Linked DNA regions of Arabidopsis thaliana. The main gene of each other region encodes a partner of the protein of the gene in region 2 in a complex. Each region holds a gene or a part of one and is shown on either strand. Other genes may lie near its edges. The genes, in order: PnsB1, PnsB5, PnsL1 and PnsL4.

Region 1 (5,887 bases), on a different chromosome or scaffold from region 2:
ACTTTACAAACACATTTTGACAGATAACTGGAGCGTTTTGGTACATGTTGTCAGTGGAGCGTAACGATACTTGTTGGAGATTTGCGTGTAAAGTTCAGCCAGATCCGCGACTCTGTGTTCAGATTCTGTATTGTGGGACTAAATTTGTGAGCAGTGGAGAAACTGAATGGATCAAAACAGTCCCTGAGCTTCTTAAGAGCAATTGTTCTGCTAAAGCAGATGATTCAAAGTTTAACTATGGGATATACGGTCAGGCTATATCTTCAGGCATTGTATCATCAACAACATTTTTCTCCAAGTTCTGTTATTGTCTATGGTGGGGTCTTCAAAATCTCAGGTAAGGCGGGGGCAACTCATTGTCATTGGTTCAACCGATAGCTTGTGCAGAGTACTCTTGACATCTTTGGTGTTTTCATGAACAGCACGTTAGGTCAAGGGCTGCAGACAAGTACATTTCCAGGAGAGGTTTTGTTTTCCATTGCGATTGCTATAGCTGGGCTTCTTCTTTTCGCGCTTCTCATCGGGAATATGCAGACTTATCTTCAGTCACTTACTGTTCGTCTCGAGGAAATGAGGATCAAAAGACGTGACTCAGAACAGTGGATGCATCACAGGTCACTTCCACAAAATTTGAGGGAAAGAGTCAGACGCTATGATCAATACAAATGGTTAGAGACAAGAGGTGTAGACGAAGAAAACATAGTTCAGAGTTTACCTAAGGATCTCAGAAGAGACATCAAACGCCATCTCTGTCTGAATTTAGTTAGGAGGGTAAGTTTTCACAATCAGAATGCTAAAATTGCTTGAGATACTAACTAACTATGTGTTCTGTTTCTACAGGTTCCTCTGTTTGCTAATATGGATGAAAGATTACTTGACGCAATCTGTGAGAGATTAAAGCCGAGTCTTTTCACGGAAAGCACTTACATTGTGCGTGAAGGAGACCCCGTTAACGAAATGATGTTCATAATCCGAGGCCGGTTAGAAAGTGTAACAACAGATGGGGGAAGAAGCGGTTTCTTCAACAGAGGGTTGTTAAAAGAAGGAGACTTTTGTGGTGAAGAGCTTCTGACATGGGCTCTTGACCCTAAAGCAGGCTCAAACTTACCTTCTTCCACAAGAACAGTGAAGGCTCTGACTGAAGTAGAGGCTTTCGCTCTTGAAGCTGAAGAGCTGAAGTTTGTAGCAAGTCAGTTTAGGAGACTTCATAGTCGACAGGTTCAACAAACATTTAGGTTTTACTCTCAGCAATGGAGAACTTGGGCTTCTTGCTTCATCCAAGCTGCTTGGCGTCGCTATTCAAGAAGGAAAAACGCTGAATTGAGACGGATTGAAGAAAAAGAAGAAGAATTGGGTTATGAAGATGAATATGATGATGAGAGTGACAAGAGGCCTATGGTTATCACAAGAAGTGAGTCTTCTTCTAGACTGCGTTCAACGATATTTGCATCAAGATTTGCTGCTAATGCATTGAAAGGGCACAGACTTAGGAGCTCAGAGAGTTCAAAGACCTTGATAAATCTGCAAAAGCCTCCGGAACCTGATTTTGATGCTGAATAATCCAATTCTTGATGAGAGGCCAACATCAGAACAGAGACTACATAACTGATTTATACACATAAATGCTCTATATATAGAACTTGTTTCAGAAACTGTAAAGTTATCTACACGAGAGCCAATGATCCTTCAAAGACCTGCATTGCATTTTTAACAGTTCCAATGTCGATATCTGCTAGTTTTCCAGTCTTCGAAGCAATAATTACACAGTTACTCTTCTCTTCTGCATACGGTACAAAGAGCTTCCCTTTCTCTTCTGAAGAGAACAACCCAATACTGGAAGAAAAAGAAGCACACACATGTTAGTTCTTGAAAACATTGAATCAGTACTCTTTATATTACTCAGGTATTCACCATGGTTTGTCTCGCGCATTAGCTAGTTGAATCGCAGCTGTGTTTGTTGCGATGACTCCAGCAGAATCGTTTATCAGAGCAGCCAACTAAGTAAGCTCAAGAAAAGGAATCAAAGTAAGATCAGTGAATTCAACTTTGTTCATAACAAATACAGACAGATAAGCATGCATACCTGTCCTGGTGTTGTGATGAACACTATAGATGTATCATCACCCACAAAATCTTCAACGTTTTCTCTTTCTTTCTCATGTGGAATCACAAAGACCGGCTTGAATCCCCTGGCATTGTTCACAATCATATCTCAGAGAATTTCAAACTAAGCAAAAAATTCACATTTTGAAGGTGTGTAATAATTACCTTACACCCTTTATAATCTTAGCCCATTTTTCAAGTGAAAGTAAACTATCAGCATCTCCTTTTGATTGCATTGATGCCTTAGAATCTGATTCAATACCATGAATCACTATAAACTTCCCCGTCACTGCTCCAGCATTCCTATACTTTGCAGCCACAACCTCTTTCACTTTCCGTGAAATCGATACCCTAAGTGGCAACAGAGGAGTCCTTGGAACACTCCTAAACGGTCTTCCTAACCAATCTTCCATCTGAGTATACCTGAAACCATCAACAGTCAATTTAGACAGGCGATAAAAAAACCTGCAGTTTCTTCGGTTTCAAGGAACTCACATGCTATAACCTAATTCTGAAAGGTTGGTATTTTCTGCTGTAAAGGTCTCGGACAGCATCAGACCAGCTCCTGCAGAGTTAACATTCGGGTAAATGTAACTAACCCTGTCTCGAGCCGTTGTCATGAACAAGAACGCTGCGTGGCCTAACCCTGCTAGCTTCGTGGACAGAACCATGTCATAGTACCTTCCCTGAAACATGACTTAAAAGAAAAGTTAACTAAGCAGTCTGATAAAGGAAAGATAGAAAAAACGTTGAAATATTTGAAAGTTACAAACTTTGAGGAGTCCGATCATGTCTGTGTATTCAGCTGGTTCAGGCCAATGATCATCCGGATCATACACATTGGCCCATCTCACGTTTTTGTTTAGCTCGTATGTTTGTTTTCCTCTTTCAGTCGTTAATATATCTACCTGAACACCAGGATACCTTACAAAACAACAGAAACGTACGGACAATGTTCTGCATTTCAGTTTAAGGTTTTAAAAAAATGTCGAATCGGAGACAGAGTCTTATACTTTTATTACCTGTCTTTGATTAGCTGAATAGTCGGGAAAAAGAGTAGATTCTCGTAAACGCCACCGGAGATAACGCAGCAACATCGTCTAACATCTCCTCTGATTTTCAACGGTAAAGAAGCAAGCTCGACGGTGTAACCCTTTGGAAACTTCAAGAAGCCGTAAGGGTTATCAGGATTATCCGGTGGTCTTGGATCCTCGTCTTGTTTTCCGTCGGCAAACAAGGACCCGTATTCGTTATCCGGGTCTTCACCGCTATCAAACGGGTCGAGCCACGGATTATTCTTCTTCTTGAGATTGACCGATACATCGGAAGATCTCGACGTAAGACGAGTTTGAAAGTTGAGGAAGACGAGTGGTTTGGAGGTAGAAAACGGCGGCGTTTTAAAGAATGGGGAAATGGGTTTGGGTAACAGAGGAAGTGAAGAAGCCATTGGAAGGTTTTTTTGAGCCAAAGAAAGAAAAGTTTGGATTTTTAAATGTTGTGAAAGAAAACAGATCTCTGTAGGAACTTAGGATAAGTGGGTCCCTTTTGTGGCAATTTTCCGACCATAGAAGAAAACTTAGCATTTAATTTATTTATTTTGGTTATGGCAATTCCAGAAATTATTCTCTGTTCGATTAATTAAAACTTTTGTCTTTACATTGGTTGATACGCACGAGCAAAGAAACATTCCTAATCTCAGAACTCAGAAGCATTAACCAACTGATTACAGTAAGCAATTAAACCATTTAACTTGTCGGGTCGAGCAATAAGGACCCGTTTCATTGTCGGGTCGAGGAACAAAAGAACAGAAAAAGCAGAAGAACCAAACGATGACGTGTTAAGTCGTGACTGGTGAATGACCTTTTCTCCTCGTCTCTCTCTCTCGATTTGATTCGTTTCGTCGTCGATCAGAAAAAGCTTCTTTCTTTCTTTTTTTTTTCTGGGTTTTTCTGAAGTCAAAAGCTTTTTTTTTCTTCATTGTTCAAAGATTTTATTTTGTTGCTCATTGTTTCTAACCTTGCTTTTCTCGTGAACACAGCAAGCAACTTGGTTTAGTTTTACTAGAAGATTCCTAAAAATGAGATATTTAGCGGTGACAAAAAAGTTTCATTTTTGGTGCTAATGTAGCTGTAAAGTCTAGGCCTTCCGATATATAATCTCTTGAAATAAGTTTCGAGACTGTTGGAAATAGCAATTTTGTTGTTGTTGTGTGATCCAGTGATAGATCTGTGAAATCAAAAAGCAGTTTTTTGTGAGAATCGGGTCAATGTCGGTTCCTCCTAGATTCCGGTCCGTAAATTCCGATGAGCGAGAGTTCCGATCAGTTCTTGGTCCTACCGGGAACAAGCTGCAGAGGAAACCACCGGGGATGAAACTGGAGAAGCCGATGATGGAGAAGACCATCATCGACTCAAAAGATGAGAAAGCGAAGAAACCAACTACTCCGGCTTCACCAAGGACGACTCTGAAGCAATGCTCGTCTCTTTGCTCTTCGATTTTGAGAAAGAATAGTGCTTCAATGACTGCTTCGTATTCCTCTGATGCTTCGTCTTCGTGTGAGTCATCGCCTTTGAGCGTGGCGTCTTCTTCGAGCTGTAAGAAGGTTGTGAGGCGAAGTGGGTCTGTCTCTTCTACAAGGAAGCTGAGTGTTGGGAAAGAAGAAGAGAAGGTTTCTGGTGATTGCTTCGCTGATGGTCGTAAAAGGTGTGCTTGGATCACACCTAAAGCTGGTAAGCATCAAACTTTCACCTATCACACATTGCATAGTGAGAGAGCTTTTGACTTTAGATGCATTCAAATAAATGAAATGAGTGAAAATGTGAATGTGAGATTGAGTTTAGCCTGATTGTGTGAGATGATAAAGTTCTTATCTAGTTGAATCAAATGGGACTGAATTGAGACAAGGAGCTAGTGTTTTTTGTTTGATCTAATTATGTTCTTCTGTATGTGAATATTAAGTAATTCAATGGCCAACAAAATGTTTCAATTGCTATGTATTTTATTCAGTGAGCATTGTGTAGATCATTTGCTATGTTGCATAACTTATGAAGTAGCTTGTCCTGAAGTTCTCTTATAAATATTTTAACTTCTCAGTGTCCATGAAATTTAGATGAAGGATGTTTTGATTAGCTGATAGATCCACTTCGTTTATGCTTTTAGTGTAAGCCAAACAGCGTTTTCTGGATTCTCTATACTAATGAGCATAAATGTTTCCATGCCAAGAGGCACTTTCCATTATTCTTTGTTGTTCTCTCATGCTTCATATCTTTCTCTGCTGTAAATTGACTAATAATGTTGCGTTTTTCTACGTTGTAAAGACCCGTGCTATGTTGCTTTCCATGACGAAGAATGGGGAGTTCCTGTACATGACGACAAGTATGTGGCATCCTCAACTATTTTCCTTCTATCTGAGATACACTTTGTAGTTATAAGAGTCTCTTACCGCTTGGTTAACTTGTGTAGGAAGCTTTTTGAGTTATTATGCCTCTCTGGTGCTCTAGCCGAACTCTCATGGACCGACATTCTCTCCAGAAGACATATACTCAGGTAACCAAACCAAGTTCTTTAGTAATATGAATTTTGAATTCGCAATATAAACTTCTGATGCTAAGCCAGTAGCTCTGATCTCTGATTGCCTAATTTGCTTCTTATTTGAAACAGGGAAGTTTTTATGGACTTCGATCCAGTCGCTGTAGCTGAATTGAATGACAAAAAGTTAACAGCGCCAGGTACTGCTGCCATTTCCTTACTATCAGAGGTCAAGATACGATCAATCCTCGATAAC
Region 2 (5,065 bases):
GCAATAATCACTACTCTATAATGACTAAATTTTTTTTATAGCAATAATCACTACTCTATAAGACCTACCAAATAATTTAATACGCGATCATTTCTCTTATATGGATATATGCAATGACAGAAGATCTAAAAGTATTGACTTAAATGATACTTTCATTTTTGCTTTCTTTTTATTTTTTCATATGAATACTCTTGAAATCTTGTTCAATTTATATTAATTCTATATATTTAATCATGAGCCTATAACAATGTTGTTGGAGTATTATATCAGGGAATACATAAACCAAAAATAGTTTATTTATAATCAAGTTAGACAATTTTCAAATCATGCAAAACACGATCATTTTTCTAATATTGATATATGCAATGACAGAAGATCTAAAAGTGTTGACTTAAATGACATTTAGTTTTTGCTATCTTTTTATTTTCTTCATACCCCTTTTTCATACGAATACTCTTCAGATCTTGTTCAGTTGAAGTCAATCAAAACTTTAATCATGAGCTTATCACAATGTTGTTGAAGTACATAAAACAAAGAATTGATTTATTTATAATCGAGTAAGATAAATTTTAAACCACACAAGTAACATGGTTACACATAATTGTATCAAAATATCATATATTGTTGTTATATGTATTTTTGATAGTGAACAAATATTAACATCTTATAAATAGCTTTATACATGAAAATTAGAAATTGATATTTCGAGTTACAAATGAATCTAACCATAAAAATTGTAAATAATATGGATCTAATTTCATTAACAATACAAAAATAAACATAAATTAGCAAAACTAACAATCAATCTAAATATTTTTTAACAATTTTCAAAACAAACCCACGCGTAGCGTGGGTACTCATCTAGTATCATAGTAAAAACTGGTATGGAACTTACGAATAGTTTGCACAATATTAAAGAAAGTGTCAGAGATACGTTAAAGCATTTTCTTGTAGAGAGACTAGGGATTAGGAGTGGAGCTGGTTTGTCACTTGATGTTCCAACTCGATAGAACTCGAAGGTGTGTTTAGCTCCTCGGACTCTTCCACAATACTGGAACACTATATTGTTGTGTTTGGACCAGGGGATGAAGTTAGCGTGTGGCATACGTCAACCTCAAATTGTATGGTTTATCCACCATTGTATGAACTAATGATGGGTATGGAAACTCGTTGGGTCCATACGAGGTACTTAGATCTTAAAAAAACATATAGTGAAGAACAGAAACCTAACACTACAAGATGAGAATCTAGGTTTTATGGTACTAAAGAAAAATAAGAGAATGAACAATCAATATTATACACATTGTACCCCGTTCATTCATCAATTTTATAAAACAGTTTACATCAAAAGTCATGATTATAACGAGATCACAATCCATTATCTTATCGTGTGGCGATATCATCTTTCTCAATGGTGAAATCCCATACATCACCATATTTGTCATTAAAGTCCCAAATGCTCATTGTGTTGTAGTCATTAATGAGCTTGTCACGAGCTCCTCTCTCCAATTTGTATATCTGAGGCTCGAAGTTGTGTGGCTGGTCAGGTTTATCCATCTCTATTATACAGAACACTACCGTGAATAACGCTGCACCTATGAACAAGTACTCACCCTGCAACACACACACACAAACACTGGTGATTCTTTTTCTTCTCATACTTGGCTTAATTATCTAATCTCTTGTACGTCCTCCACAAAACAAAAGCGATAAAACTAGTAATGATAAATTTTGGAAGCAAGCAAAAGATTTTGAAGTTACCGGAGCATCAAAATACATCCCAAGAGCTATAGCAGGAAGAAACATACAAGAGATCAAACCTGCAGACATAAAAAAACCGCGAGTTTTCAATCAATCTGCGGTACATAAAAAGCACTAAAAAGCGGGTTAAATTCATACCTTGAAACCCATTAGTTTGATCCACAGCAGCAATGTCATCAGCAATTGCTCCCCAAAATGTTCCTAAGAAACATTTCCAAGAAGACTAATCAATCAATCAAACAAAGAAATATTATAGCTCTAAAATCGAAACAGCGACAAGAATCAATAGGAGAAACCAAAATTATACCCTTTTGAACTTCTCCTTCATAGTAAGTATGAGCTCCATCGTAATATCCATACTTGAAATCTTCCTATTAACAAAAGCGCTAACCAATCAGAAACAACTTTCAGCAGAATTATGAATTTAAAATCAATTGAATCTTTACCATTTCAATGCTATTAGTCTCGAATTGACCAATCGGGTCTTCGTTGATGTCTGGTTCGATCTGTGACAATCCAGCCGCTGAGACCAGCTTCGCTAACTTCAATCTCCGGCCGGATTTGCCGCATTTTACGACATTGACGATCTGATCAGAAACCCTAGCTCCGAATTTGGAATCAGTGACCTTTGGAATCGATTTGGGTGAGAGAATCGTGACCGTTGCCATTTTTTCACTCACTTTATCTTTTTCTTGCTCTGTCTCAGAGTTTTGGAGCCATAGAAAGAAAAAACGGTTCTTTTTTTTTTTGTGTGTTCGTTAGCGAAAGAGATTAGTAGTTTACTGGTTACTGTCTGTCATATTACCAAAGTGACTGACAAGTTCGTAAGCGTCACGTGGAACGTATTCATTTGATTGTCTTCTCTAGTTGGTTAGTGAACGCTTACATCGCGTGAAGACTATTGAAACGGCCCAACTTTGTCTTTGCTGAAATCAACAATATATATTAAGCCCAATTTGATTTACGTGACAATTGCTTAATTATTAAATTCAACCCAATATTTTCCTATATCCAGTTAAATGTAAAATTCAGTTCAGGTTAAACATCATAATACTTTGCATATTTTTAATAAGGAAAAAGCAAAACAAAAAAATAATGTATTAGCCGATTTATCGAATGCCTAAACAAGAAAGATCAATAACATTCTATGGACCAATTTGTTGAATCGTACAAAATGGTTTTGTTTGTCTAGACGCCTAAACAACCTGTTTTTAGAACTTTGTAAAGGATCTATGTAGTTGGCTTTGCTATGTTCGAATTAGTAACAAGGTCAAGGCACTTCATTGATTTAGGAGACAATGACATAAGAATCATAAAGAAATGATTCCCAACTGCAACTAATAAAGGCTGGAGTGGTTGGAGAGTAGGGTAAATTAAATGCTTTGCTCTTTCTTTGATTAATGGTTACCAATATCATGTCATGTTCTAGGGTAAAATTATTATAAACCAATTTCTCTATCATTTTACTAATGAATAGAATATCAATTTATCTCAACTACTTAGAATCAAATCTCACCCAAATTTAAACGCAACAAATATAAATTAAGATTTGGGGTTTAGGTGGATGGATTGCTACGAAGTACAAACATTTTTGATGTGGAAACTAGAATAACAAATAAAAGTCGGCCAAATTTTCAACGACAAATACATTAATGTTTTAATTTATGGACTATTGCGGTTAGGTACTTGTTATCCACTTATCTTCTTAATTCATCGAAGATATTAGCTTAATGATTTGTAATCCATGTGACATGCACTTACACATGTAGTGTTTATTGAATTATTATTATTTTTTTGTTGAAAGGTTTAGTGTCTAATGAAATGCAAATATATATTTGATTCCGATAGTTGAAATCAACACTAGTTAAGCTCCTTTTTTCTTCAATATTATCTATAGAAAATATGTACCATAATTTGCTTGAAGAATTTGAGATATCTTACCGATATAACTAAAGGTGCAGAGAGATTAAAAATCATAATTCATTTTGGAAATATTTTTTTTCTAAAGAACTCATTTTGGAACACACTTTTCTACCAACTACGAAAAAAAATTCAAACTGGTTTTGTTTATTTAAGATTTAAGAATGACTTGAAAAGGTAGAATTTGTAAAACCAATGAAGAAGAAAGAATTGTGGAGTGGTAGAGAATGGTTTCTTCAAACTTCTAAGAATAATTGTTGAACGTAATTGCTTCGTTTGGTAGGAATTTTCTTAGCAATTAGAATCAGTTCTATGTTATATAACAAACATATATTTTTGCATTACTTACCACACAAACTCTCCCCAAATTGTGTGTTGACACATACCAAATGATGATATAAATACAAAACTTATCACGCACGCGTTAAAGATTCACACGCATGTTATTGACTTGTGAAAATCTCACAAGTAGTTAGTACACATGAAACGATAGTTTAGTTTTGGGTTATGAACTTATGATATGAGTTAATGGCATCATTTTTTTTTTTTTTTTTTTAACACGAACTTCATTTTTATTACTTAGGAAACGTAGTCTGAAAACAGAGCATTTGAGATACACAATGGGATAAAGCTATGAACTATGTATGAAGACAGAGCATGTTTCTGGTTTTTCGCTAAAATATCAGCAGGTTGATTTGTTGATCTGTGTGACCACGTGAACTTGATTGCGTCAAACTTATTTCTCCAAACTTTGATTTCATGGATCCAATTGATAGCATCAAATCTTGAGCCTCTTCCATTCAGAACATTGACTAGGAGCTTGCAGTCGCCTTCAAGTATTACTTTTCTAAAGCCTCTTATCCATAATTGTTGCATGGTAAGAATTAGGCTTTGACATTCTGCTTCAAAGGCTGAGGAAACGGTCGCACCTGTCGCTTGAGCAGCCCCTTTGAACACGCCGTTATCATCTCTAATTATCCAAGCTGCCGTAGAGCCACGAACTCGATTCACAAAGCTGCCATCGTAATTACACTTAATCCATCCCATATGTGGTTTTTGCCACTGACTCTGAAACTGCCTAGTTGTGCCATTAGTCGTACTCGGAGTGGGAACTTGCGCACATAAGCCATTTGTGATCCATTCTTCCGCTTCATTTGTAGCATCTCTGATATCTCTCCACCAATCGTTCTGTTTTCGTTGGAACACTAGCTTATTACGGCTTTTCCATATTCTCCAAAGGATCGAGATAGGTAGCTGCCCTTGCATTGTATGTTGTCCTGCATTTTTATGAAATTCATAAATCTCTTTAATTTTTGTTTCATAATGCACCTGGGGATTTGATAGACTCGGAAGGGGAATGTTCGAAGCTCTCCATATTTGGCGA
Region 3 (5,674 bases), on a different chromosome or scaffold from region 2:
AATTCAAATGTTATCAGCTGCTGCTAAAGATTGAAACTGAAGAAGACGATAAGAAAATGGAAATGCGGAGAGGAGGAGCAAATTGTTTACCCAAACAACCAAGACAGTTGTGTAGTTTACTCGGAGATTTCTTCTCCTTGTGTTCCGGTGAAACCTGGAAATCATCGAAATTTAACTGCCAGGAACGGTCACCGTTACCGTGAAACTCGAGCAGCGAGATCCCTTCGTCGGAATCTGGACTAGCTGGCTCAACCATTTTTCCGGCGGCGGAGAGAGACTTTGTATTTTTTTTTTTTTTTTTTTGAGAGAGAGAGAGAGTGGTAAGGAAATGGGAAATTTGAAGAGACGGCGAGGGTAAAATCGGTAATTAAGAAAGATTGAGGCTAGCTACTACGACTGTTGTGGTAGTAAGACATTCCTCCACAGAGATACTTGGACCAGCCTTTAGAAGAGACGTCTCTGCTAATTATCCACGTGGCGTTCTCTCAATGGATTTGGGATCTCGCACGTGATTGGAGGAGTCATCATACACACGTGTACAGTTGAGATTCAACTGCAATTAAACGACCCCGTGACATGACATGGTTATGAGTCACATATGTGCCCTCTCAAACTCTATTATGTAGTATAAAAACTGTATTAGATACAACCGACCCAAGATATAGAAGAACCTTTGAAAAATGGTAGAAGCCAGTTCAGCTAAAGCTTTCTTCTTCACAATTATCGTAAAATATTAGACATGTAGAGCAGGCTTGTTGTTCTCTTATTGTCAAGCGTAAGTAAATGATTATTGTTTAGTTTCGTGACCAATTGGTTTGTTTTTTGGTTAGCCATTGTTCGATTTGCTTTGGTTTGGTCAAAGATTGTATGCTTTCAAGTCAAACCAAAGCTGACTAAATTTTATTCTGTAATAATTTACTTTGGAATGGCAAAACCAAAGAAAGGTCATAGACACAAGAGAAGAAGCAAATATGTTTCTTACGCCAAAAGACACGTTTGTATGGTAAGACAAAAGACACGTTTGTATGTTTCTTACGCCAATACCATTACGTTAAAAATAAACTAGTAACTTAAATTTACGCTCACTTTCTATTTGGGTTTTACATGATGATTTTGGTCAAAGGCCTATTTACAATGTTGCAAGCCCATATTATCTTTTAAGTATCTTTTTGTGCAACCAAAAGAATCAGTGATCTTATGCTCATTTTCATTTTTTTCTAATGAAATTTTTCGTCACTTATGGCTTATGCGTCCGATGGACGATTATGGTAAAAGGCCCATTTATTCAATCCAAAGCTTACTGGGTTAGATGATGATTGTGGTAAAAAGGCCCATTATAGACCCAACTAAGTATCTTAGGGTTTCAGTTTCCACTATAAAACTTGTTGCGGCGTAAGTTAGGGTTTTGAGAATCAGCGGCTTCACCTCTCCAGGTTCGTGTCTCGATTTTGCAAACTATCTCTCGAAATCGTCCTACATTTCTTTCTTCAGATTCATTACTGAGCTTCGCTTTCTGGGTTTCTATCTAAAAATTTCACAGATTTCGTGTGTGAAGAATCATTTCAAGCCATGTCTCCGGCTAAAGGTACGATCTTTTCATTGATAACCACTTGAATCTTCACTGGAACATGATGGATTTGGATCTTCTTCTACTAGACTTTAGTTTTGCTGAACCCGCTAGTATCTGGTCTCGATTAATGTTTTCTAATCATGTTTCGTTAGGTGATTAGTTTCAATATCTTCCTGATTAGCTTCAACTAAGTGAGATTAATGTAGTATCCAAATGAATTTTGTCTGTAGACGTGTTTCTGAGTATTCATGTATTGAAGTCAGATTTGTATCAAAGTATTATATGATGCTTAAACTCTCTGTTGTATGTAATTTGCAGTTGATACTACCAAGAAGGCTGATCCTAAGGCCAAGGCCTTGAAGGCGGCAAAGGCTGTGAAGTCTGGTCAAGCCTTCAAGAAGAAGGACAAAAAGATTAGGACCAAGGTCACCTTCCACAGGCCAAAGACTCTTACCAAGCCTAGAACTGGTAAGTACCCAAAAATCAGCGCTACTCCAAGGAACAAGTTGGATCACTACCAAATCCTTAAGTACCCACTCACCACTGAATCTGCGATGAAGAAGATTGAAGACAACAACACTCTTGTTTTCATTGTTGACATTCGTGCTGACAAGAAGAAGATTAAGGATGCTGTTAAGAAGATGTATGACATCCAGACCAAGAAAGTGAACACACTCATCAGGTACTTTAAAGAGTATTTTTCTATGAAGCCTTGTTGTGAGATTGATTATGTTCAATATATTTGACACTATGGTTTGGTTTTGTTACAGGCCTGATGGAACCAAGAAGGCTTACGTGAGGCTTACACCAGACTATGATGCTTTGGATGTTGCTAACAAGATCGGCATCATCTAAGTCTATCTATCTCTGCAGTTATAAAGACTATTGTGGTTTTGTCTCTTGTAGTCTCAGTTTTGCTTTTAAGATATTTATTATTACTATCATCTGGTAATTGTAGTATTTTGGAGCAAAAACGTTTTACAATACATTCATGTTGCAGTTTATTGTTGAATTCAAGTTCTATGTTTTTGACTTATCAAGATTCTCTTTTTAAAACTCACTAACTTATAAACTGTAAACATACAAATGCAGTATCTTCTCTAACCAGTAAATGATCATAAATCGATCTATCACCACATATTGTTTGCATCTTTCATTATCCTTTTATCCACATGTTGATGAATGGAGAAGTCCGAGAAATGACGAAAATCAGAAATTTCTTATCCACATAGAACACTAAGGCAATGTTCATTGATCATCAAAAGTCTTGTGAATTGTAGCCACTATGGCAGTCTCCTCACTCTCAATCCGCTGTGGTGGTTTCTCACCAACAATCTCCCACAAGGTTAATAACACTGTTCTGATTCCAGTCTCCATTTCTGAAAACTAAAAATCATTATTGTTCATTGATTCATATTTCTTACCAGACAGAAATTCTCTGTCCAAATCCATCACTCAAAGCTTGTTGTTTACTTTCATCCGGTGGTAAGGCCGACTCCTCGGAGAGTAGTAAGAAACTAAACTCTTGTGACATTTTCCTTCTCATACGTAATACATTGACTTGTGTGGATTGATTTTTATTAAAATTCAATAGCTTACCAAAAAGGCAGCGGAAACAATTGGAAGAGAAGGCAAGCTCTTGTGGGAGTAGGAACTTTAGTGGCAACTTCAATTCCAGCAACTTTGCTTCTTGCTGAAGGTAATCTGCAAAACTAAGGGTTTTGTTTTTGCCTCTCTTCTTCATTCTTTTGGGACCAAAAGCCTAATATGTTGATTCATATCATGTTTGCAGAGATACCAAAAAGCTACTCGCCTTTTGTGGATCGAGAAGACGGGTATTCTTACTATTACCCATCAGACTGGAGGGTGGGTAATGGCTTTGTTTCCATTTTTGTTGAAAGAATGAAACATAAATGAATTGAGAATATCTCTGTTCTGCCCTTACTACGTAGGAATTTGACTTCAGGGCACATGATTCAGCCTTCAAAGATAGATACTTGCAACTGCAGAATGTGCGGGTCAGGTTCATACCAACGGAGAAAAACGACATCCATGAAGTAGGTCCTATGGAAGAGGTATGTATTACACACCTTACTTTCCCTCTACCATCTATGTCATTAGAGAATTCACATTGGTTCATCATTCTTATATATGTTCATCAGGTGGTTTATGATCTAGTGAAGCATAAGTTTGCAGCACCAAACCAAGTAGCTACCATCTACGATATGAAAGAGGTCAGATGATTGTTAACATCTTAAAGAATCATCAAAGTTGTTGAGAGATTGGATCTTTATAAACAATAAGAGATGAAAATGCAGAGGGTGGAAGATGGAAAGAACTATTACACGTTTGAGTATGGACTAAGAACTCCTATCTATGCAACCACTTCCTTTGCAACAGTGGCAGTTGGAAACAGTAAGCACAGATTATAAGAATTATGAGATAGATGAGAGAAGAAATTGAGGAATAAACAAGTGTTATGACTGATTTGATGTTGCAGACAGATACTACACTCTCATAGTTGGAGCAAATGAGAGAAGGTGGAGGAAAGTGAAAAAGCAGCTTCAAGTTGTGGCCGACTCTTTGAAGATCCTTCAGATTTGACAAACACAAGAAACATCTTACTCCTATATATCTTTCTCTCTCTGTGGTTACAAAACTGTCTGTAGATAACAATTTGATATTTTCATATTCTCTATAACTCCAACGATGGTTTTGGCATTGTGAGTTAGATTCTGAGTTGGTTCAGTAATTCAATCAAACTTGCAAATAAAGTGGAAATAATGTATTTACAAAACAGACATATTTCTTCCTAGCCATTACACACTTCTCCACCTAAATCACTCACAACAACAAAAAAGCAAACCTCAGCAAATAAAATTGCCTCTAATCTTCAGTTTCAATAAACAAATCGATATACCTTAAGAGACCAATCAATGAATAAATAACACAGTCCTACTTCATTGCTTAGCCTCCTGAAAGAATAAGGGAATCTAACGTCTACAAACTCCTAAGTTGCTTACAGAAACTAACCGTGGTTGTACAACTTCTGCTCATCTGCTGTCATCCCGGACCCGATAAGCCTTTGATCAGATGCATGTCCTGTAACTACATCCAATAACGTTATCTCGTGGCATATCACATGATGGTTGGTATGTGACTGAACTAATCTCAATTAGGCACATGAGTCCAATCTCTTTTAGATCAGTTGATGTCGCCGTAGATTCTTGCCAAAATGTGGTTGCATTAAACGGACATACAATCCGTTTTTACCCGCTAAACAATCATGCGTACCTTCCTCTACTATTTTGCCTCCATTGAGAACCACAATGTTATCCACATGTCTCATCATCGCTACTCTATGCGCTATCAGAATTGTTGTTTTGTTCCCCATTATCAATGTATCAAGAGCTTCCTGCACAACACGGCTCGACTCGGATTCGATAGATGAACTCGCTTCGTCAATCAACAGTATTGGAGCATTCTTCAGCACTACCCGAGCTATAGCGATTCTCTGTTTTTGTCCTTGGGTAAGCTCAACACCTCTCATCCCGATATGTGTGTCGTATCCGTGAGGTAAGCTGCTGATGAAATGGTGGGCATTTGCAATCCTTGCTGCTTCCTTCATCTCAGCTTCACTTGCATTGTGCCTTGCGTATATAATGTTTTCTCTGATCGTTGTGGAAAAGATTATGGGTTCCTGTTGAATCAGACCCATATGGCTTCTTAACCATCTCAAATTATATGACTTCAAGTCTCGCCCATCTAATAAGACCTGACCAGCAACTGGGTCGTAGTATCTCTCGATCAACGATATTATTGTGCTCTTTCCAGAACCAGAAACACCAACCACAGCTACTGTTTGTCCGCCATTGACTTTGAGACTGAAGTTGCTTAGTACTAACACTTCCGGGCGGGTTGGGTAGCAGAAGTCGATGTTTTTCAGTTCAATGCTTCCATACACGTTAGGCGGACTAAGAGCCGAGGTATCATCAGGTTCGATTGTAGGAACTCGATCTATTATTTCAAAAACTGAAGCGAGAGATCTACGGCGCTTGAGAATGTAAGGTGCTAATCCGAATGGCTCCACAAGAGCAAATGTAG
Region 4 (5,600 bases), on a different chromosome or scaffold from region 2:
CACTCCAGCGACTCCTCTCTTATCCGGATCACAAATTCAGCAATATCAAAACCCTAACAACGGTTTCGAGGATATGAATCTGCAAGCTCTTCTTCAAGCTCATATTTCAAACCCTAGAAGCAATGAGCACGATCAGTTTGGTCTTGGTATGATGCAGACTCCATCTACTAATCCTCCTACTACAACGGCAGCGGCTAACGGGAACATAAACACCGGTGATAATGGAAGCTACGGTGGCTCCGATCATGAACATAATAATGACGGTACTTGGTTATCTTCGTCTTCCGACCAGAGAACATAAATATATTTATGTATAGTCCAAGTCCGAAATCAAAGCTAATCTCTTGACATGATTACTCAACAAATTAAACATAGCACATATAGCATGATGAAGTTACTCGTTTATATATTCTATATTTCAGTATAAACCACTTTAAAACTTTTTTCGTGTAGGGTTTGTTAATTATTTAATACTTAATTAATATGCTTGTTATTTGTTAATCTTAGTTTTTTCCATAACTATATGTTGGTAAGTATTAGTTAGTAGATGGATCTCACCATTTGAATCAGATTTTCTTGGTATATTTTCTTATAATTATATAGAACTTTTAAATTTTAATGACAACGATGACTTGCGATATGAAATTTTAATTTTTCAACAATCAATATACAGTACGTGGTTTTGGGATCACTACGGTTAATATTTCTCCTAATTAATATTGGAGTGAATGGTGGCGAAATTTGGGGAATCTTCCACGGCCGCCGGATTGTGGAATATGGTTTTGGGACCATAGTATATAATTATTAATTAATTATAGACTTGTGGTGATTTGAAATTTGATAAATTACTGTTCTCCCATGTGCTTATTCATTTTTGGTGTATCATCTACATTAACGTCAATTTTTATTGACTTGACTCTCATTTTACCATACCAACAGATTTGAAATTTGAAAATTTCCCAAGCAAAAGAAAAACAGGTAATCAATAATGATAATTATACATACATTTTGGTTTTGACCTACTTTTGTCATATGACAATTTATCTTTATAGACACTTTTACTTCTATTATTATAAGTCTCTTTGTTTGTGAATAGGGGCAAATTTCATTTGACCGCCTCCGACAACCATTGACCTTGTCACGGCTCTGAATGTGATGCGTCTACAAAATTCCTAACTTTTTTCAGTCTTCTCATTAACCAATCAATCGTTAGAATATTCAGCTTAATTTATATCTCTTTCTAGTCTCTAGCTTAACAACACTTCAGAATGAAATGTCAGTTCTTTGTAAGCGGGGTTTTCAATAATATCATTTGCTACTGTATAGTATAATAGTAACTCTTAAAAATAATAATTCTTGTTTTTCACAATAAGATTTGATGATGGATTGATGGTCGCAAAACAAATAATGACATTTGATGAAAAATCTTTTGCTTGTTCTTGTGTATACAAAAGTTCAAATGATTTTGATATTTTTTTGTCCACGGACCAGTTACACTTAAGTCACCAATGCACTGTATAACCTATACACATCACTTACATAAACTATCAACAATGTGCATATATGTGTATCTCTATCTAAATGGAATATATAATAATGGGTGATGATGATGGTTTAATATTATGGTGGTGGTTATGGTGGACCATGATATCAAGCTATTGTCGCACTGATGGGTTTTCTATGTATTCAGATGATACTCGGTTTCATAGTTGAGTGATAACTAGGTCTGGCCATTATCTTACTATCCAAATAATTCGATTCGGGTTCTCAATTTTGTGGGCCGATTGGCTCCAAAAGTTTCATTATTATTTTTGTTCTGTTGAAAATAGAAATCCAAAAAAATACGGGTGGGTCCCATAATCATATCCATTGTACCGTTGCACACTCAAAAGACAAAAGATTCAGACCAAAGGCTCTGGCTTCACGCAGATAAGGAAGCAGAGATCGAAACGAAGACTCAAAGAAGAATGGCGATTTCTACTTTAACACTCACACAATCTCTCTATACACGTTCCTTCAGACCAACCATCTTCTTTTCTTCTTCTTCTTCCTCGTCCTTTTCGTGTCTCTGTTCTTCTTCCTCCGATTGCGAGCCGAAACTCTCCGTCAAGAAACGCGTTTTCGGAGTGGGTTTAGGGTTCCTAGCTTCTTCGATTCTCTCTCTAACGCCTCTGGACGCAGACGCCACGAGGATTGACTACTACGCCACTGTAGGAGATCCTCTCTGCGAATACAGCTACGCAAAATCAGGACTTGGATTTTGCGATCTCGATGTTGGATTTGGTGATGAAGCCCCTCGTGGCGTACTCGTCAATGTAATCTCTCCATCTCTCTAATTTCCTCTGTTTAGGGTTTTTGATTCAAAGTTTGAGACTTTGGAGAGTTGGTCACACACACACAGATCCATTACACGGCGAGGTTTGCAGATGGAACGTTGTTTGACAGTAGCTATAAGCGTGCAAGACCACTTACTATGCGAATTGGAGTCGGCAAGGTACAACAAAGAACCATTGTCTCTCTCTCTCTTTGTTAGCTTCCATAGTCTTCAATTGCATTGCTAGCAAAGTTCACACTTGTCTTTGTTGAAGTTAGTTAGTTTCTTATGTTCTTCTTTGTGATTAGGGTGAGCAAAACAACTATATATCTAAACTCTTGATGTCCAAAAATGATCAGGTAATTAGGGGACTAGACCAGGGGATTCTTGGAGGCGAAGGAGTACCTCCTATGCGAGTAGGCAAGTGTACTGTATTTTCCTTTGTTCAATGTCCTTTATTTGGCTGATAACATATTGGTGCGGTTTTATTTTGCAGGCGGAAAGCGTAAACTTCAGATTCCACCTAAGTTAGCTTATGGACCAGAGCCTGCAGGATGCTTTTCTGGTACTTGCACAATTCCTCTGTAACAGTTTCACTTGTATATGTAAGATATGTATCTCGAGTAATAAATCGACTCTTTATGCAGGTGACTGCAACATACCTGGCAATGCAACTTTGCTCTATGATATCAACTTTGTTGAGATCTACCCAGGAAGTAATACAAGATGAAGCCAACTCCAATCCCGTTTGGTAAAGGAACAAACAACTATGTATGTGATGTATATCACCAGGTGATTACTTTTGACAAGCTTCAGATTATAATTTCTGTAACCTAAAACATTGATGATTTCCAACTGAATCCAATGTCTAACCTCCTATTAAAGAACAAGACACATCTTCTCTGTGCAGATCTGTCTTTTTGTTAAGTTATGACCTTGGAAAATCATATACTTGCATAAATGTATAAGCGCGTGTTAGGTTAGATTCAGTCTTGGTAAGTGATGCAGCTTGTGTCACAAAGATGTACAGAGTCTAGAATAAAGTTGTGTGATGTGGTTTTTCATCGGTGTCATATCTCTGTAATTGGTCCCCTCACAACAACTCATGAATCTTAAGGCCAAAAAAAGTGTAAAACTTTGGTTCTTGCCTACTTGAGCATGTTGAAAATACATAAGACAAATCTTCATTTTTCGATTTTCCAGGAAAAACACAGTGCATGAGCTAATTTACAGCGTACCGGAGGTTCTTAAAGGCTGATGTTAGGCCATCCTCAATGGAGGGTTCTAAGATAAATGAGGTTTTTAAAGAAATCATATATATGAAAGTTGGCCAACTCTCTCCATATGGGTGACACATCATCACATAAGAAAATATCATGTGTCATTTAATATTGATTAAATTAAAATTAGCAAAATTAATTGAGAGAAAATAAAAAATCTCATATTGTGTTAAATCCTCCATTAATTCATTTCTTAAATGATTTTTTCAAAATATAAATATAAATAAAATTACTTATTTAAATAAATCAATTACTACTTTTATTTTACTTTTATTATTTTTTATTTTTAAAAATTTTAATGGTCAATGGTCATCACTCTATAATGACTAAATAGTTGTTTATGTTGTAGTTTATTTGTTTGCTACCTAATATTAGTGTAGTTATTTTACCTTGATTTTTTAATTATTATTACGTTATGGTTCATATCTTATCATATGAAATTCTGTATTTTTATTTTTGTATCTTTAGGTAAGTTCGTAACATTGACATTCAATATTTTTAAGTAATAGACTTTTGAGACGTTAAACATACCACAAAATTCAAAACAAATCCATTTGTCTTATACGGCTATATGCAATAGTATAAAATCTAAAAAGTGTTACTAAAATAACTCTTTAATTTTTGCTTCTTTTTTTTCATACGAAAACTCTTGAAATCAAAATATCTTATATTCTTATTGTGTGTATTCATGATAATGAACAAATTTTAGAATTTTGGATATAAAAATAATCAGATTATACATGAAAATATATAAAAATTGATATTTAGAGTCAAAAATGAATCTAACAATAAAAATGTAAGTACATAAGATGAGTCTAATTTTACTAAGTATAAAATAACAAACAAAAAGTAAACATAAATTAGCGACAAAAATAATTAACATATTTTTATCTAAAGAATTTTTAAAACAAACCCACGCGTAGCGTGGGAATTCATCTAGTAATATAAAAATAAAAACATGGAAAGAAGAAGAGAAAAAATGAAGAGGAGCTCTTAGATAAGAGAATGAAGAGAGGTTTTTAATAATCAAGTAAACCACCTAAGCCACATGTCACTTATACATTGGTTCATTTTTTTCTTAAACTTAAAATTTATTTATATAATAATATTATAATAAAATAATCATTGTTATTGTTGTTAAGAGGTTTTTAATAAGAGCTTATTGTTGAGGATGCTCTTACTTTGTTTACACCTGAAGACTGAAGAGCAAGAATCATATCAGTAAAAATTGTTGAATAAGTCCTTTAAAATATAGTATGGTGGGGGTAGTTGTATGTATAGAAAGATTACATGACCCGTGTATGTTATGATACACAGTTTTTTTAAGCTTTATGTGATCGATCTTTACTATCCATTTTTGGATTTTTCTTTTAATAATGTATGTAAAAGAGAAAGAGAGTGGGTGAAAAGAGTTAGAATATTGGGGTCCCAAAAAACTAAACTCAAATTAAAAGACCATGAAACACCTTAACCAAAAACAAACGTCTTTGTTATTGTTTTGTAAGTTTGAAACTAGCATAGAAAAAATTAACTAGTTTCCACTTATATCTTCCAATGATAGTAAACAATGATTACTTACGATATCCAATTGATTAAGCTAATATAATACTAGATCTATATTAATATTAATAAAACATTCACTTGTAACACCAACAAAGAGCACATGCAAAAGAAGACAAAACCATGAACTAAAAGAGAACAAACACCAAAATTTATAACCCACATTTATGCATATATTACCGGCATATATTATATAAATTCCTTTATAAATTATCTAATAAATAAAAAAAAACTACATAATAGAGCAAGCATTAGGATTATCATCACTAAACAAAGAAGTATAAGAAGGGTCATCGTAGTAAACAGCCATCGTCCCGGTGGTGACGTTTGGGTCAACTTTTCTGACGTAACCAGGCGGTGCTTTCTTATCATAAGCCTGAGCTATGTACGGCTGAGCCACCAAGTTGTACGGTACGTACGGCCATATCTCGGCTTTCTTCCCCGTC

The links.
Region 1: PnsB5 (region 2) and PnsB1 share a complex: the UniProt entries of both Arabidopsis thaliana proteins name them as parts of the chloroplast NDH complex.
Region 3: PnsB5 (region 2) and PnsL1 share a complex: the UniProt entries of both Arabidopsis thaliana proteins name them as parts of the chloroplast NDH complex.
Region 4: PnsB5 (region 2) and PnsL4 share a complex: the UniProt entries of both Arabidopsis thaliana proteins name them as parts of the chloroplast NDH complex.

Annotation. Positions count from the first base shown.
Region 1 is NC_003070.9:5,486,977-5,492,863, reverse strand, and holds PnsB1 (NDH-dependent cyclic electron flow 1), read right to left. Parts: upstream 3,720-5,887; 5' UTR 3,551-3,719; coding exon 3,126-3,550; intron 3,028-3,125; coding exon 2,877-3,027; intron 2,790-2,876; coding exon 2,599-2,789; intron 2,527-2,598; coding exon 2,269-2,526; intron 2,190-2,268; coding exon 2,084-2,189; intron 1,998-2,083; coding exon 1,912-1,997; intron 1,834-1,911; coding exon 1,665-1,833; 3' UTR 1,561-1,664; downstream 1-1,560. Other genes in the region: CNGC7 (cyclic nucleotide gated channel 7), read left to right, coding at 24-337, 423-771, 841-1,560; AT1G15970 (DNA glycosylase superfamily protein), read left to right, coding at 4,370-4,832, 5,421-5,478, 5,566-5,649, 5,764-5,887. UniProt on the Arabidopsis thaliana protein: NDH shuttles electrons from NAD(P)H:plastoquinone, via FMN and iron-sulfur (Fe-S) centers, to quinones in the photosynthetic chain and possibly in a chloroplast respiratory chain.
Region 2 is NC_003076.8:17,578,717-17,583,781, forward strand, and holds PnsB5 (NAD(P)H dehydrogenase 18), read right to left. Parts: upstream 2,560-5,065; 5' UTR 2,430-2,559; coding exon 2,208-2,429; intron 2,133-2,207; coding exon 2,069-2,132; intron 1,963-2,068; coding exon 1,900-1,962; intron 1,821-1,899; coding exon 1,762-1,820; intron 1,615-1,761; coding exon 1,384-1,614; 3' UTR 1,151-1,383; downstream 1-1,150. Other genes in the region: AT5G43755 (non-LTR retrolelement reverse transcriptase-like protein), read right to left, coding at 4,261-4,511, 4,611-4,844, 5,011-5,056. UniProt on the Arabidopsis thaliana protein: NDH shuttles electrons from NAD(P)H:plastoquinone, via FMN and iron-sulfur (Fe-S) centers, to quinones in the photosynthetic chain and possibly in a chloroplast respiratory chain.
Region 3 is NC_003071.7:16,473,480-16,479,153, forward strand, and holds PnsL1 (PsbP-like protein 2), read left to right. Parts: upstream 1-2,718; 5' UTR 2,719-2,855; coding exon 2,856-2,915; intron 2,916-2,997; coding exon 2,998-3,079; intron 3,080-3,164; coding exon 3,165-3,269; intron 3,270-3,362; coding exon 3,363-3,436; intron 3,437-3,522; coding exon 3,523-3,645; intron 3,646-3,732; coding exon 3,733-3,804; intron 3,805-3,888; coding exon 3,889-3,985; intron 3,986-4,070; coding exon 4,071-4,174; 3' UTR 4,175-4,364; downstream 4,365-5,674. Other genes in the region: MTP11 (Cation efflux family protein), read right to left, coding at 91-256; RPL23AA (ribosomal protein L23AA), read left to right, coding at 1,570-1,585, 1,889-2,252, 2,341-2,425; ABCB6 (P-glycoprotein 6), read right to left, coding at 4,770-5,674. UniProt on the Arabidopsis thaliana protein: NDH shuttles electrons from NAD(P)H:plastoquinone, via FMN and iron-sulfur (Fe-S) centers, to quinones in the photosynthetic chain and possibly in a chloroplast respiratory chain.
Region 4 is NC_003075.7:18,424,693-18,430,292, reverse strand, and holds PnsL4 (FK506-binding protein 16-2), read left to right. Parts: upstream 1-1,714; 5' UTR 1,715-1,967; coding exon 1,968-2,315; intron 2,316-2,401; coding exon 2,402-2,494; intron 2,495-2,673; coding exon 2,674-2,734; intron 2,735-2,810; coding exon 2,811-2,879; intron 2,880-2,961; coding exon 2,962-3,044; 3' UTR 3,045-3,536; downstream 3,537-5,600. Other genes in the region: AT4G39720 (VQ motif-containing protein), read left to right, coding at 1-263, 940-978, 1,097-1,113; AT4G39700 (Heavy metal transport/detoxification superfamily protein), read right to left, coding at 5,387-5,600. UniProt on the Arabidopsis thaliana protein: NDH shuttles electrons from NAD(P)H:plastoquinone, via FMN and iron-sulfur (Fe-S) centers, to quinones in the photosynthetic chain and possibly in a chloroplast respiratory chain.